2 linked regions of the Elephas maximus indicus genome follow. The protein of the gene in region 1 interacts with the protein of each later gene in a pairwise test. Links are inferred from orthologs where the notes say so. Each region holds a gene or a part of one and is shown in the gene's direction. Other genes may lie near its edges.

Evidence for each region.
Region 2: the proteins of HOMER3 (region 1) and FRYL interact in binary tests that used the Homo sapiens proteins (3 or more experiments, as listed by UniProt). The two-hybrid records come from large-scale screens. The link is inferred for Elephas maximus indicus from reciprocal best matches to the Homo sapiens genes HOMER3 and FRYL.

Annotation. Positions count from the first base shown.
Region 1 is NC_064821.1:38,794,674-38,801,953, reverse strand, and holds the start of HOMER3 (homer protein homolog 3), read left to right. Parts: upstream 1-4,245; 5' UTR 4,246-4,350; intron 4,351-6,101; 5' UTR 6,102-6,157; coding exon 6,158-6,171; intron 6,172-6,246; coding exon 6,247-6,403; intron 6,404-6,598; coding exon 6,599-6,730; intron 6,731-7,280. UniProt on the Homo sapiens protein: Postsynaptic density scaffolding protein. Binds and cross-links cytoplasmic regions of GRM1, GRM5, ITPR1, DNM3, RYR1, RYR2, SHANK1 and SHANK3.
Region 2 is NC_064823.1:110,297,306-110,304,724, forward strand, and holds the start of FRYL (protein furry homolog-like), read left to right. Parts: upstream 1-4,314; 5' UTR 4,315-4,341; intron 4,342-7,419. UniProt on the Homo sapiens protein: Plays a key role in maintaining the integrity of polarized cell extensions during morphogenesis, regulates the actin cytoskeleton and plays a key role in patterning sensory neuron dendritic fields by promoting avoidance between homologous dendrites as well as by limiting dendritic branching.

The DNA of each region.
Region 1 (7,280 bases):
CTGATCCTCAGCCCCTCCAGGCCCCATCACCAAAGACCCCCATCCGCACTGCTTAGGGAGCTCTGAGACCCACCCAACACCACATCCCCCAGCATCTACGATCTCTTTGCCCCACTTTCTGCCCTTCATATGGGAGGGTGGTGGAGCCTTCAAGGACAAGGCAGCCAAAAATAATCGGCCGACCTACCTCCCCAAAGTGGGACAGCCCCGCCCCACCACCTGGCGCCCCCGAAGTAATTAGCGCGTGTGGCAAATGAGGGTAATTAGGTTTTCCGGAAGTGAGCTGCAGAGCCTGGCTTGGTGCTTGAAGTGGTCTCGACTCCTTCCTCCCCGCCCTCTGCCTTGCCCTGGTGTTGGGCCCTTAAGTCCACAGCCCAGGGCCAGCACACTTTATCTGGGAAGCCTCCAGACTCTAGACTGTCCCCTGCATACCCGGCCCCTTCGTGGCTGGGCCTGAGCAGGCCTGGCTCCATTGTTTGCTGGGGGCTGTTTGTCAAAGTTGAGTTGGATTTGAATTTAAGGTGGGGTCACCATAAAGTGACAAAAAATCACCAACATTAGTGAGTCATCAAATTCTCCTCCACCCTGAACCCCATGTGTCTACCCTGTGCTGGAAGAAGCCAAGTCCTAGGGAAGCCTCAGTCCCGTCTGAGCCTCGGGGAGCCCTCAGGCTGGGGGAGTCAGAGCTGGGCACAGACACTGCAAGCTCCCTGGGGTCAGGGTGGACCAGAAGGAGAGAGAGGACTGGAGAGGGTCTGGAGGGAGAGGAGTGAGTAGAGGGTATTGGAGGTGGGGCTTTGAGGGATGAATAGGTGTTTGCCAGGAAGAGACGGTCTGAAGGCTGGTCCAACTGGCTGTGCCTAGGAGGGTGGTGAGAAGGAAAAGTGGAGAGCCTTGAGGGACACACAAGGGGCTAGGAGCTAAAGATTTAGAGGATCCTAGAGGATTTAGACTAGGTCTCTGGACGACACAAACAGCTTGCCCTCGTCTACTAATCTAAAGGTTGGTGGTTCTAACCCAACTTGCAGCACCCCAGAAGAAAGGCCTGGCAACTAGCTTCTCTAAAGATTACAGCCAAGAAAATCCTATGGAGCTCAGTTCTACTCTGTAACACATGAGGTCACCATGAGTCAGAATTGACTCAACGGCAACAGGTTTGGCTTGGACCAATTTCCTGTCCTCTAGAGCTCACATCTGCTTGGGGCCCTTCAACCTCTGAAAGAGAAAATGTTAAGAACTTGGCTCCGGATCAAAAACCGCACACCCAGACAGCCAGGAATATAATGATTCAAACAGCAAGTATTCATTGAGCACATAGAGTCAGCCCTCTTCATATAAGAATTCACTGGATCTTTATAGCAAGCTTCAAAAGAGGGTATCATTCTTATATCCATTTTACAGATGGGAAACTGAGGCACAGCAAGGGAGAGTGACTCCTTCCTGGTCACACTGTTGGTAAGAACCGGGGCTGCAATTCACTCCCTGGCCCTGGACTCTGGAGGCCCCTGAGGTCCAAGGTTAGGGCCTGGGAATCCCTTCGGCAAGCATTTCTGAAGGTCCTGCTACAGGTCAGGCTTGATCTGGGTGTTGCGACAAAGCCATGGAAGAGGTAGACAGTAACCAAATCATGCCGTAAACAGATTTAAAGTGGCCACTGTGAACCAAGCCATGAGGTTGTATACACGGCCTGGGGGAAGCGTTACATCCCCTCACATCCCCTGTCTGTCAGGAAGGCAACCTCTTCAGGGAAAAGAGATGATTTAGCTTCAGTCTGAAGGTTAGGTTGGATTTAACTAGGCAGGGACAGGGTCTGACCCATAAAAGTCACTCTACAAATGGCAACTTCCACAGAGCCAAGCAAACTAGTCTGGCCACTGCTTGATTTCTCCTGTGACAGGAAACTCATTCCCTCACTCCTTTCCTCAGCCTGAAAGGAAAGCTTTTAGTTATCCTCCCTGGGGTGGTGGCCCACAAAGACATGCCCAGTCCGTTGGAAGAGAGGTCCCAAGGCTTAGGCAGAGGAGGGCTCAGGCTGAAGTGGGGTCAGCAATTCAGGGCAGCCCCCTGCCCATCTATACCCACAGAAGGGTAAGGAGCTGCTGGTTCACCTGGATCCTCTCTACTACCTCCTCCCTGAGCCCTGTAAGCATTAGCCCATTCTCCAAGTGAGAAAACTGAGGCCTACACTGAGAAAGCCACTTCCTCCATGTGGACCTGGTGGAGACACCTTCAGGTTAGGGCTGCTCAAGGCACACCAAGTTCCAGGTACTCCTGGAGCCCCTAGAGGAGGCCCAGGGAAGCCATGTAACTCCCTCCTCCTTGTCACACTGTTGCTTTCTGCCCACACCCACACAAGGAGCAACTTCGGCCTGGGCCTCTCGCCCAACTGCCCCCACAGAATGGATCATGTGGTCCTGGTTCTGCAGCCAGCCAGCCCCTTGGCAAACCCTCAGTGGCTTCAAGGAGCCTCAGCCTGGCCAGAACCTTTCCCATTTATTTATTTATTTTATTATTTTTTTTGGTAATAAGGAAAAAGTCACTCTTTGCACAGAACAGACGGTATTTTCTTTGTTCCCCACAGATCTCGCGCCTTTCGTGGCATCAGGCCTGAGAGCCAAGCCAAGTACTTTGCTTGTTCAGATGCCTCATGAAGTTAGAAGCAGCTGGGGGAGACAGAGTTTGCACCTCGGTTTCCCCAACTCCGGTGAGCAGTCCCTCCAGTGCTGAGTGAGGCAGGGGCTGCAGGGGGGACTGGTCCTCAAGGAAAACTCACACCTGGGCCCCACTGATATAAACAGGTAACTTGGCTCAGATCACAGGAAATGGATGGTGGGTTGGGAGGAAAAATAAGGTCCCTTCCAAGCCCAGGATATTCAGAGAAGCTTCTCTGAGGAGGGGGCAGTAGAGTTGAGCCAGGAAGGACCAGGCAGAATTATGCTACAGGGAGGGTCTTCTGGGTGGAGGGAACAGCTTGGGCAAAGGCCCAGAGGGAGGGGGATTCTGATCTTGGGCTGGGAATGTCTTCAGAAGCAACAAGTCCTGGTATTCAATTATTCACCTAACGGTCTTTGAAGGTAGCTGGCAGCTACCTTCACGACCCATGCCATGAGGCTGAACACACAGCTTGGGGGAAGGTAACCTCCCCTGATTGTTCTTGGGGAAAGGAAATGAAAAAAACAGGGAAAAGAGATGAGAGCACTCCAAGGCCTTGGCAGATCAAAAGTCAGAACCTCTGAGGGTGTTGGAAAACTCACGTGTTAGGTTTGGAGCTTCAGGGAACCCAGGACTTGCTCTGAGTCCAGTGCCTCTGCCCACCCACCAAATGTCCCTTTGCAACAGGACTAACCAGTGAGCCCCACCGGCAGGCTGGGGCTAGCTCAGCCACCCCAAAAAGACCTGCTTGTCACAGCTGCAGGAAGGGGGAGGCACCTTGAGCTCAGAGAGTGCAAACCCAGGGCTGCCACCTGGACACTGACAGTCCCTCCACCCTGGACCTCGGACCCTATAACAACAGCAGTAATTATCATGATCCCCAGTTTATGGGGTTGTCTTTGGGGAATCAGAGGCAGACACGCCCAGGCCAGAGGGATCAGGGCTCGGGGAAGAGCAGGCAGGATCCTGAGCAGGTGCCCCAGGCCAACCCCATTAAGCGCCTACTGTTTGCCTCTCTCTCTTTGTCCCCCTTCCACTTCTTCTGGTCCAGATGTCTTAATTTCCCAGCAACACTCAGGCATCCCCAAGGTGGGTAGACCTGCCCCTGCCTCAGGACCTTATGGAGTGACCTGACAGGGGGGACCTGACCGGGAGGGACCTAACCCCCATCCCAAGCCTAAGGTCATGACCCGGGGCAACCAGGGCAGCTGGCAGCAGTGACTTGGAGGGTTAGGGTGGGCCCCCAAGTGGTGACTGGAGGCCACAGTCTCTGTTCGTCTCTTCCTCTGTGTCCTTCTGTGTCTCTGCCTATCTCTCTACCTCTGGGTGTCCTTGTCATCCCAGATGTCTGTTGCCGTCTGTCTGTCTGTCCCACCCCCGACCCGCGCCCAGCTCCTCTCTCTGCTCCTCGCCCCCTCCCTGGGTTTCCCCCCATCACCCCTGCCTACCGGCGCACTGGGCCGCCAGCAGGGGCGCTGCGGGGAGCTCACGGGCCGGGAGGCGGGGCGGGCGGCTGCCGCGTCGGGACCGGCTGCGATGGGACCGGAGGCGGCGCAGGCGGCGGCGGCGCGCAGACAAAGGCGCGGGCGGCGGGCAGGCCCGGAGCGAGGCAGCGGCGCCCGGCCGGCCCTGCGCGGAGTTGGTGCCGCCGGGCCGCACCCGACTCGCGCCCGGACACTCGGCGGCCGACCCGGCAGGGTGAGCCCCGCGAGACCGACCGGGGTGGGGACATAAGACCGTGAAGCTTCGGGGTCGGGAGGGGTGCAGGGTGTCCCCAAAGTCGAGGTCGAGAGATGGCGAAGGGGGCTGCGAAGTTCTGGACCCGGGATGGAGGGATGCAACGCGGCGGTCCTCTAAGTTCCGGACTCGAAACTGGGGGGCGACGCGGGGTCCTTGAAGTTCCGGACTCTAGGTCACCGACTGATGGAGGTCCCCGAAGTTCCAAACTCAGAATAGCAGGTTGTCCCCGGGATCCCCGAAGTTCCAAGGTCGGCGCGTTCTGAAGTTAGGGCGCACACGGGGTGCCCCGCTCCTGGCACGAGTGGGGACCCCGGTCCTAGCTGAATACCAGGCCTCCTGGGCTGGGGTGCGCGGAGTGGGGCCTCTCCTGCGGCAGGATTGGGGATCCCCGGTCACCAGGCAGGGTCGGGCCCCTCGGGGAGCCCGGCGCAGGCGGCTGGCGTCCTAGGTGCGTGACTCGGACATGAGTAACTTTGCCTGAACGCCACAAGTCAAGGCAAGAGCTACCGCGCTGGATGCGCCTGAGTTCAGAGGACTCCGGCGTTTCCCAACTTGGCCGGCCCTGGACCCGCCCCCAGCCCCGGCCAGAACGGCCGCCCCTCCCCCAGCCCAGGGACTCGGGTTTCAGACCTGTGACCGGGACAGCAGCTGCCCATGACGGGTGGAGGGGGGCACCCCCGCTCTGACCACAGAGACCGCTGGGTCAGGCTCCCCTCCCCCCGCAACTTCCCCATCCTTGGCCTCTCCCAGGTCCCCTCAGACCCCCTGGTTGCAGGTTTGGAGCTGCAGGAGGGGCATCAGGAGGTCTCCTTCCAGGCTGCTTGTCCTGGCTTCTGTAGGGTGGTGGCTAGAGGAACCTACTAAGAGGCTGGGGAGCCCAATCTCCTCTATCTGGAGTCCACCCTGCACCTAGGGTGGACCTGTGTGGCTACATCTTATCCTTCTGATGGAGTGGTGGTCTCTCCGGGGATTTGGACTCTGACTCCTAGTGGTGCCACTGCCCCAGGGTCAGAGCTGGGGATCCCTCATGGGTCCAGCAGGGTCTGGCCTCCCACTTGGCACCTGGGCTTGGCCCACTTTTTGCTGGTACACCCTGGTTTGAGACGTGCTGGATGCATCTGGTGGAAAGTAGTTTCCCCTCAGCCTGGGATTGCGGGGGCTCACAGGATATCTCCAGTGACCAGGATGGTGGGGGGTTCATGATGGGATACCAGGAATGCTGAGAGGAGACCTGCTGTCCTCCCCGGGCCCCTCAGGCTCCACTACATCTGACTTCCCCTAGAGAGGCGTCTCCTGCCACACATGATGTGGGGGTTCCCTGAGATGGGGTTGTTGTTACTGTTAGTTGCCATTGTGTGGATTCTGACGCACGGGACCCACATGTGCAGAGTACAACTGTGCTCCGTAGAGTTTTCAAGGCTGTGACCTTTTGGAAGTAGATATGAAATAAACCCAAACCCACTGCTCTTGGGTCGATTCTGACTCATAGCAACAATATAGGACAAAGTAGAACTGCCCCATAGGGTTTCCAAAGAATGTCTGGTGGATTCGAACTGCCAGGCTTTGGGTTAGCAGCTGTAGCTCTTAACCACTATGCCACCAGGGTTTCCTGGAAGTAGATAGCCAGGCCTTATTTCTGAGGCGCCTCTGGGTAGGTTTGAACTGCCAACCTTTTGGTTAGCAGTCCAGTGCTTAACCCTTTGAACCAGCAGCTCCTGCCCCTCCTCTGGCCACCCCTTGGAGCCTGCCCAGCCCAGCCTGACCAATGTCCACAACCAGGTGAGCACCCCCTCTACCCCGATCCCCAGCCTTCCCTTGTGCAGCTCCACCCCGCTGAATGCCCTCTTCCTCCAGGGAGCAGCCCATCTTCAGCACACGAGCTCACGTATTCCAGATTGACCCAGCCACCAAGCGGAACTGGATCCCCGCGGGCAAGCACGCCCTCACCGTCTCCTACTTCTACGATGCCACCCGCAATGTCTACCGCATCATCAGCATCGGGGGTGCCAAGGTGAGGCGGATCTAGGGGTAGGGAGCACCAGGGGTCCCTGCTGTGTGCCCCCTGGCAGGGGGTAGCCTGCATCTTCCTAGGCTGCAGTCTCCCCTCCTGAAAGAGCTCAGAGCAAAGCCTCCGAGCCCTCCTCCAAAGTGATGCTCAGAGCTTTTCATGTTTGTTATTATCGGTCCCTTGAACTTTGCCCCCCAGGCCATCATCAACAGCACTGTCACCCCCAACATGACCTTCACGAAAACTTCCCAGAAGTTCGGGCAATGGGCAGACAGTCGTGCCAATACAGTCTACGGCCTTGGCTTTGCATCTGAACAGCATCTGACCCAGGTAGGTCTGTGGGAAGGGACTGGGAGGACAGGATGGGCCTGGGACTTTTCCTGGGTGAAGTGGGCACTTGGGACAGTTCCAAATGGGCACATGGAATTGGACCAGCCTGAACACCTTCCAGGTCCCTGAATGGTACAGATGATTTGCACTGGACTAACCCTGGTTGTGCAGTGGTTAAGCACTCAGCTGCTAACTGAAAGGTCAGCGGTTCAAACCCACCAGCACCTCTTCGGGAGAAAGACCTGGCAATCTGAGATTAGTTAGATCTTAGAGTCCTAAGATTATGGTTTAGGAAACCCTATGGGGCAGTCGTACTCTCTTCTATAGGGTTGCTATAAGTCAGAATCAACGGACGGCACACAACAACAACACTAATTCAAAGGTTGACAGTTTGTATTCACCCAGTGGTGCCTTGGAAGAAAGGCCTGGAAACCTGCTTTTGTAAAGATTACACCCAAGAAAACCCTACAGAGCAATACTACTCTGTCATGTATGGGGTCACCATGAGTCAGAATCGACTCTTCTGCAATAGGTTTTGGTTTCCTTGAAC
Region 2 (7,419 bases), on another chromosome or scaffold:
CTTTTAAAAACGTTTAACAAATGAAAAGTCAATGTATAATAGGAAAAAAAATTATGGTAGTCTTTGAAATGGTCTTTAATAGAAGCAATCAGAAGCCACATCCAGGTGACTGTTTTGCTGAAACTCTAGATGTTTTACCCCAACATCTGTCTGCTTACTGCATCTGTCTTTCCTCCTATGCAAGGCCAGCCCTCCACCTGTGAAGCAGATCTTACCTCCTTTCACTTACTCAAGGACATCCTTCCCGAAGTTCTACCAGCTCTCTCCCACATCATTCATTGTCCCATCATTTTACCGTCATCAGCTTATAAAACAAACTATAATTCTTGCGCCTTTAACAACCCCAAAACTTCTTGACCTCACATCTCCATTTATGTTCTCTTCCATTGCAAAACTCCTTGAAAGAACTGTCTATACTTCCTGTCTCCAATTCCTCTTCTCCCAGTCTCTCTGCGACCCACTTCAAGCATGCCTTTTACCCTTAACTATCCACTGCAAAAGGAGCCATGAAGTGGTTAAGCCCTCAGCTGCTAACTGAAAGTTCGATAGTTCGAATCTACCAGCTGTTCTGCGGGTGAAGATGTGGCAGTGTGCTCCCATAAAGATTTACAGCCTTGGAAATCCTGAGGGACAGTTCTACTCTGTCCTATAGGGTCACTGTGAGTTGGAATTGACTCCATGACAATGAGTTTATCCACTGCAAATGCCTTTGTAATTGTTTCCATGATCTTTATGTTATTTATCTATTGTTCAGTTCTCAATCCTTCTTTTACTTGACCAAAATATCCCCCTTTTCTTTTCATCCCCACTATTTCTCAGTCTTTATTGCTGGTTCATCTTCGTCTCTCTGACTTTTAAACTTTGGGGTGCCACTGACTCAGTCCTCGGGCATCTTCTCTGCAGTCACTCCTTTGTAATTTTGTCCATTCTTTTGGCTTTAAATACCATCTATACTCTGCTAACTCTCAAGTTTAGTTTTCCAGTCCAGACCTCTCTCCGGAACTCTAGGGTCATATCTGCCTACTTGAATATCTAATCGGCTTTTCAAACTTTACATACCCAAAACCAAATTCTTGATCTCCAACCTCAAAACAGAGAAAAATTAATTTCTTCCCACAATCTTCTTCATCTCAGTTTATCTAGGTTTCCAGTTTATTATATTAAATCCTTGGAGGTATCCTTGACTCTTCTCTTTCTCTCACACACTCCATATAATCTTTTGGTAAATCCTACTAAGTCTATCTTCAAAGCATATCCATAATCTGATCCTTTCTCAGTATGTCCACCAATGCCATCTTGGTCCAAGTCATCATCTCTTAGTGCAGTTATTACAATAATCCCCTAACTAGTCTTTCTGCCTCACTTCAGTTTACTCTTAACATGGCTGCAAAAGTGATCTTGTTAAAACCCAAGTCAGATCTTCAGGCCTTTGCTCAGAACCCTCCAATGGCTTCCCTTCTCAGTCCAATAAAATCCAAAGTCTTTACAATGGTGTACAAGGCCCCGTGCTCTTTCTCCGTCTCCCCTCTGGACTTCTACTACTGTTTCCTCCACCAATTATACTCCAATCATACTGTTCTCACATTTTCTCAAACATGCCAAACAGTCATCCACCTTAAAAGCTAAGAAAATATTTCTTCCTCAGTGTGAGATGTCTGAGTGCCCTCATATATCTTTATGATTCACTCTCATCTACTTCAGATCTTGGATGAAATGTCATCTTCTCAATAAGCATTTCTACATCATCCTGTTTAAAATTTAAACCTTTCATTTTCTTCTCTCCCATCCCCAACCTCTGCTCATTGGCGGTTCCTCAAAAAGTTAAACATAGAACTACCGCATGATCCAACAATTCCACTCTTAGGTATATACCCAAAAGACTTTAAAACAGGGACTCAAATAGATTCTTGTACACCAATGTTTACTACAGCATTATTCGTAATAGCCAAAAGTGGAAACAACCTAAGTGTCCATCAAAAGATGAATGGATAAACAAAATTTCTAAGAAATAAAATGTCTAATAAATAAAATATCTAGAATAGGTAACTGCATAGAGATAAAAGTCTATTAAATGTTACCAGAGGCTGGGAGAAGAGGGAAATGGGGAGTTACTGCTGAGGGGGTGCTGAGTTTCTGTTTGGAGTGATGAAAAACTTTGGACAATGCATAGTGATAATCGTAGCACAACATGGTCATTAATGTCACTGAATTAAGAATTGGACACTTTAAAATGGCTAAAATGGCAAACATTTTGATACATATATTACCACAATAATTTTTTAAAGGATATGATTATCAACCGAATAAGGCTGCTAGAGAGGAAGAGAACAAAAATGACTCCCAGGTTTCTGGCTTTGATAACAGCATTAAGAGGTGAAATCACCAACTGACATGGAGAATAGTGGAGGAGGAAAAAGTTGTCAGAGGGTGGAGACAATATATGCTGAATTTTGGGCATGCCCAAGTGGAGAGTTGTAGTGGACAGTTAATATATTGGTCTCAAGCTTATAAAAATATCTGAGAGGGAGTCATCAGGCCATATGTGGAGCTGATGTCACAGCAGTGGAGGAGTAGAATGAACCCTGGGAAACATCAGAGTTTAAAGCAATGTTTCCCAGTCTAAGGACTTAGAGCATCAAATCACCTTCTATTTTAAAAATACAGATTCTCTGGAGACCCTCCCTAACCTACGGAATAAGAATCTTTGGAGATGAGACTGAGGAATCTATATATTTTTAAAAGACCCCAGTTAACTCTTCTTGGGCTACCAAGCGGCAACTGCAAATCCAGTGATTAAAGTAATGGATAGAAGAGGAGACCAAGGAGTATATTTAAGAGAAGACGCAAGAAAGGTAACAAATAATAATATTTGCTGTGTACTTACTATGAGTCCAGCATTGTTTTGAATAAACACTTTACTGCACAGTGGTATTAGATCCTCACGATCCTATAAATGGTGGTGGTGGTAATTAGTTGCTGTTGAGTCAATTCAGACTCATGGTGGCCCCAATGTGCACTGAGTAGAACTGATCCATAGAATTTTCAAGGCTGTGACCTTTCAGAAGCAGATTACCAGGCCCGTCTTCTGATGTGCCTCTGGATGTGTTTGAACCGCCAAACTTTTGGCTAGTAGCTGAGTGTTGAACGCTTTGCGAGTAGGTATTATTGTTATCCCCAGTTTACAGATGAGGAATTTGAGGCACGGGGAGGTTGATTAACTTACTTAAGGTCACATAGCTAATAGTTATAGAGCCAGGAATTGAATCTAGCCCTTGCTCTAAAGTCAGTGCTTCAAAAATTTTAAAGTGCTTACAAATCACCTTGGTATTTAAAAATGCGGATTCTTATTGTGTGGGTCTAAGGTGGGAACTGAGATTCTGCATGTGTAACAAACTCACAGGTGACACGAATGTTGCTGATCTTGGGATCACACTTTGGATAGCAAAGATCTACCATTGGTTCTCAACCTTGGTTACATTTTAGAACAACCTGGTAAAGAGTAACAAGTCCCTGGCCCCACCACAAACCAGTTCAAGCAGAATCTTTGGGGCTTGTGCAGAGAAGAATCTGGGAGTGAGGATGGGGCATTAAAAGTAATTAAAATTAATTTATTTAAATAAGAGGAAGAACAACAGCAGCAACAACAAAAGGAAGAAGAAGGAAAAGGAGGAGGGAGGGAGGCAGTGATCATACTGCGCTGACCAAAGAGTGTAATTAAACAAATCAATCTAATTCTGTGGGACCTCGGTGGTCTAATTAAAAGATAAATAAACAAAGCCACAATTTGAAAGTTTAAACTTACCTTGCAAAAAAAAAAAAAAAAAATTAAAAGTAGAATCTTCCTGAGTAGAAAAAAGATAAAGAAAGAAAACCATGAAAGTAACTTTATGGAAAGGATGAAGACCAACCAAATAGAAAGTCCATTCCCTAAGTGCACAAAGAAAATGTTTTAATGAAAGCAATAAAAAAAATTTATTATTTTCTTTAAAATGTTTCCCCAATTTTAAATCAAAAAATGCTAAAGCCAGACATGAAACTATGAATGAATAAAATTAGGATGGTTTTAATTTCAGAAGAAAGAAAGAGGATATGTCTTTTGTTTTTGTTGTTATTAGGTGCTGTCCGGTTGGTTCCGACTCACAGCAACCCTATGCACAACAGAACTAAATACGGCCCTGTTCTGAGCCATCCTTACAATCGTTGTTATGCTTGAGCTCACTGTTGCAGCCACTGTGTCAATCCACCTCTTTGAGGGTCTTCCTCTTTTCTGCCAACCCTGTACTTTGCCAAGCATGTGATGTCCTTCTCCAGGGACTGATCCCTCCTGACAACATGTCCAAAGTATGTAAGATGCAGCCTTGCCATCCTTGCTTCTAAGGAGCATTCTGGTTGTACTTCTTCTAGGACAGATTTGTTCGTTCTTTTGGCAGTCCATGGTATACTCAATATTCTTCGCCAATACTACAATTCAAAGGCGTCCATTCTTCTTCAGTCTTCCTTATTCATTGTCCAGCTTTCACATGCATATGATCCGATTGAAGATACCATGGCTTGGGTCCGGTGCACCTTAGTCTTCAAGGTGACATCTTTGCTCTTCAAAACTTTAAAGAGGTCCTTTGCAGCAGATTTACCCAATGCAATGCATCTTTTGATTTCTTGACTGCTGCTTCCATGGCTGTTGATTGTGGATCCAGGTCAAATGAAATCCTTGACAACTTCAATCTTTTCTCCATTTATCATGATGTTGCTCATTGGTCCAGTTGTGAGGATTTTTGTTTTCTTTATGTTGACGTGTAATCCATAGTGAAGGCTGTGGTCTGATCTTCATTAGTAAGTGCTTCAAGTCCTCTTCACTTTCAGCAAGCAAGGTTGTGTCATCTGTATAACACAGGTTGTTAATGACTCTTCCTCCAACCCTGATGCCCCATTCTTCTTCATATAGTCCGGTTTCTCGTATTATTTGCTCAGCATACAGATTGAATAGGTATGGTGAAAGAATACAACCCTGACACACACCTTTCCTGATTTTATACCAATCAGTATCTCCTTGTTCTGTCCGAACAACTGCCTCTTGATCTATGTAAAGGTTCCTCATGAGCCCAATCAAGTGTTCTGGAATTCCCATTCTTTGCAATGTTCTTCACAACTGACTGGAAGAGAACCATATTTATGCCTATTCCCAAGAAAGGTGATCCAACCGAATGCAGAAATTATAGAACAATATCATTAATATCATATGCAAGCAAAATTTTGCTGAAGATCATTCAAAAATGGCTGCAGCAGTATATTGATGGGGACCTGCCAGAAATTCAGGCCGGTTTCAGAAGAGGACGTGGAGCCAGGGATATCATTGCTGATGTCACCTGGATCCTGGCTGAAAGCAGAGAATATCAGAAGGATGTTTACCTGTGTTTTATTGACTATGCAGAGGCATTTGACTGTGTGGATCATAACAAATTATGGATAACATTGCGAAGAATGTCTTTTATAAAGAGATCATTAATTTATAAAGCCAGCATATAAATGTATATATCCACATACCCACATAATAAAAAAATGAAATAAAATTGCTCACTACTTAAATTCAAATTTTGTTAATTTCTTCTAAGTAGCTGTAAACTAAACCAATTTGGATATATGCAGATTTGAAAAAAAGATATAAGGGAGGTTTCTGATAAATCTTATATGGTATGTCTCCTTTCAAATATATCTAAAATAAGTTACAGTATTATTCATACAAAGCTGCAAATTGTTTACTATCTGGATAGTCCCTTTATTACATATCCATGTTGTGTAAGAAATTACTCCAAAACTTAGTAGCCTAAGACAACACGCATTTATTATCTCAAGGTTTTTGTAGGTCAGAAATTTGGGAATGGCTTAACTGTGTGGTTCTGATGAGGTTGCAGGGTGTCTCCTGAGGTTGCAGTCAAGATGTAGGCTGGGGCTACAATCAAAGACTTGATTGGGGCTGGAGGATCCACTTCCACAACGTTATTCACATAGCTGTTGGCAGGAGGCCTCAGTTCTTTGCCTTAGGGTTACTTGAGTGTCCTCATGGCCAGGAAGCTGGCTTCTGCAGAGTGAGTGATCCAAGAAGGAGAGAGGAGGAAGCTGCAATGCCTTTTATGACATAGCATCAGAAGTTACATACTGTCCCTTCCTCCATCTCATATTTGTTAGAAGGGAGTCACTAAATCTAGGCCACATTCAAGGGAAAGAGAATGAAACTCCACCACTTCAGGAGAGGAGTATCAGAGGATTTGGAGACATACATTAAAACCAACACAATCTCCCACTTTGGAGAGTGGTGTCTGGGGTCTTAAACACTAGCAAGTGGCCATCTAAGATGCATCAATTGGTCTCAACCCACCTGGATCAAAGGAGAATGAAGAACGCCAAGGACACAAGGTAATTATGAGTCCAAGAGACAGAAAGGGCCACATAAATCAGAGACTACATCAGCCTGAGACCAGAAGAACTAGATGGTGCCTGGCTACAACTGATGACTGCCCTGACAGGGAACACAACAGAGAACCCCTGAAGGAGCAGGGGAGCAGTGGGATGCAGACCTCAAATTCTTGTACAAAGACAAGACTTAATGATCTGACTGAGACTAGAAGGTCCCCAGTGTTCTTGGCCCCCAGTCCTTCTGTTAGCCCGAGACAGGAACCATTCCCAAAGCCAACTCTTCAGACAGGGATTGGACTGGACAATGGAATAGAAAAAGATGCTGGTGAAGAATGAGCTTCTTGGATCAAGTACACACTTGAGATTATGGTGGCATCTCCTATCTGGAGGGGAGATGAGAGGGCAGAGGGGGTCAGAAGCTGGCAAAATGGACATGAAAAGAGAGAGTGGAGGGAGAGACTGGGCTGTCTCATTAGGGGAGAGCAATTAGGAGTATATAGCAAGGTGTATATAAATTTTTGTATGAGAGACTGACTTGATTTGTAAACTTTCACTTGAAGCACGATAAAAATTAAAAAAAAAAAAAAAACACAATCCCTTTCATGTAGTTGTTGTTATTAGTTGCCTTCAAGTCAATTCCACAGCTTAATATCTGAGTTCTCTGTAAAATAGATGATTATCTGTATTTCTGGGAGAAATAAAAAAGCCTAGTTTGCATATCTCCAGTGTCTAACTTCCCCTTCATTCCTTCCACTACATTTCTACCTTCACTTCTCCTATGAATCTCTTCTCCGAAGGTAACTAATGCCTCTCAGATGATAAATTAAATGGATACATTTCACGTCTTATTTTTATATCTCTGCAGCATTTGGTACTGTTAAACACTCCCAACATGAAGCTGTCTTCCTTTTGGCTTCTAATATAATATTGGTTCTTGCTTTTCTGTTGTGGTATGTGCCTAGACTAGGTTCCCAACCCTGGCTGCATGTATACCATATTTTTAAGCAA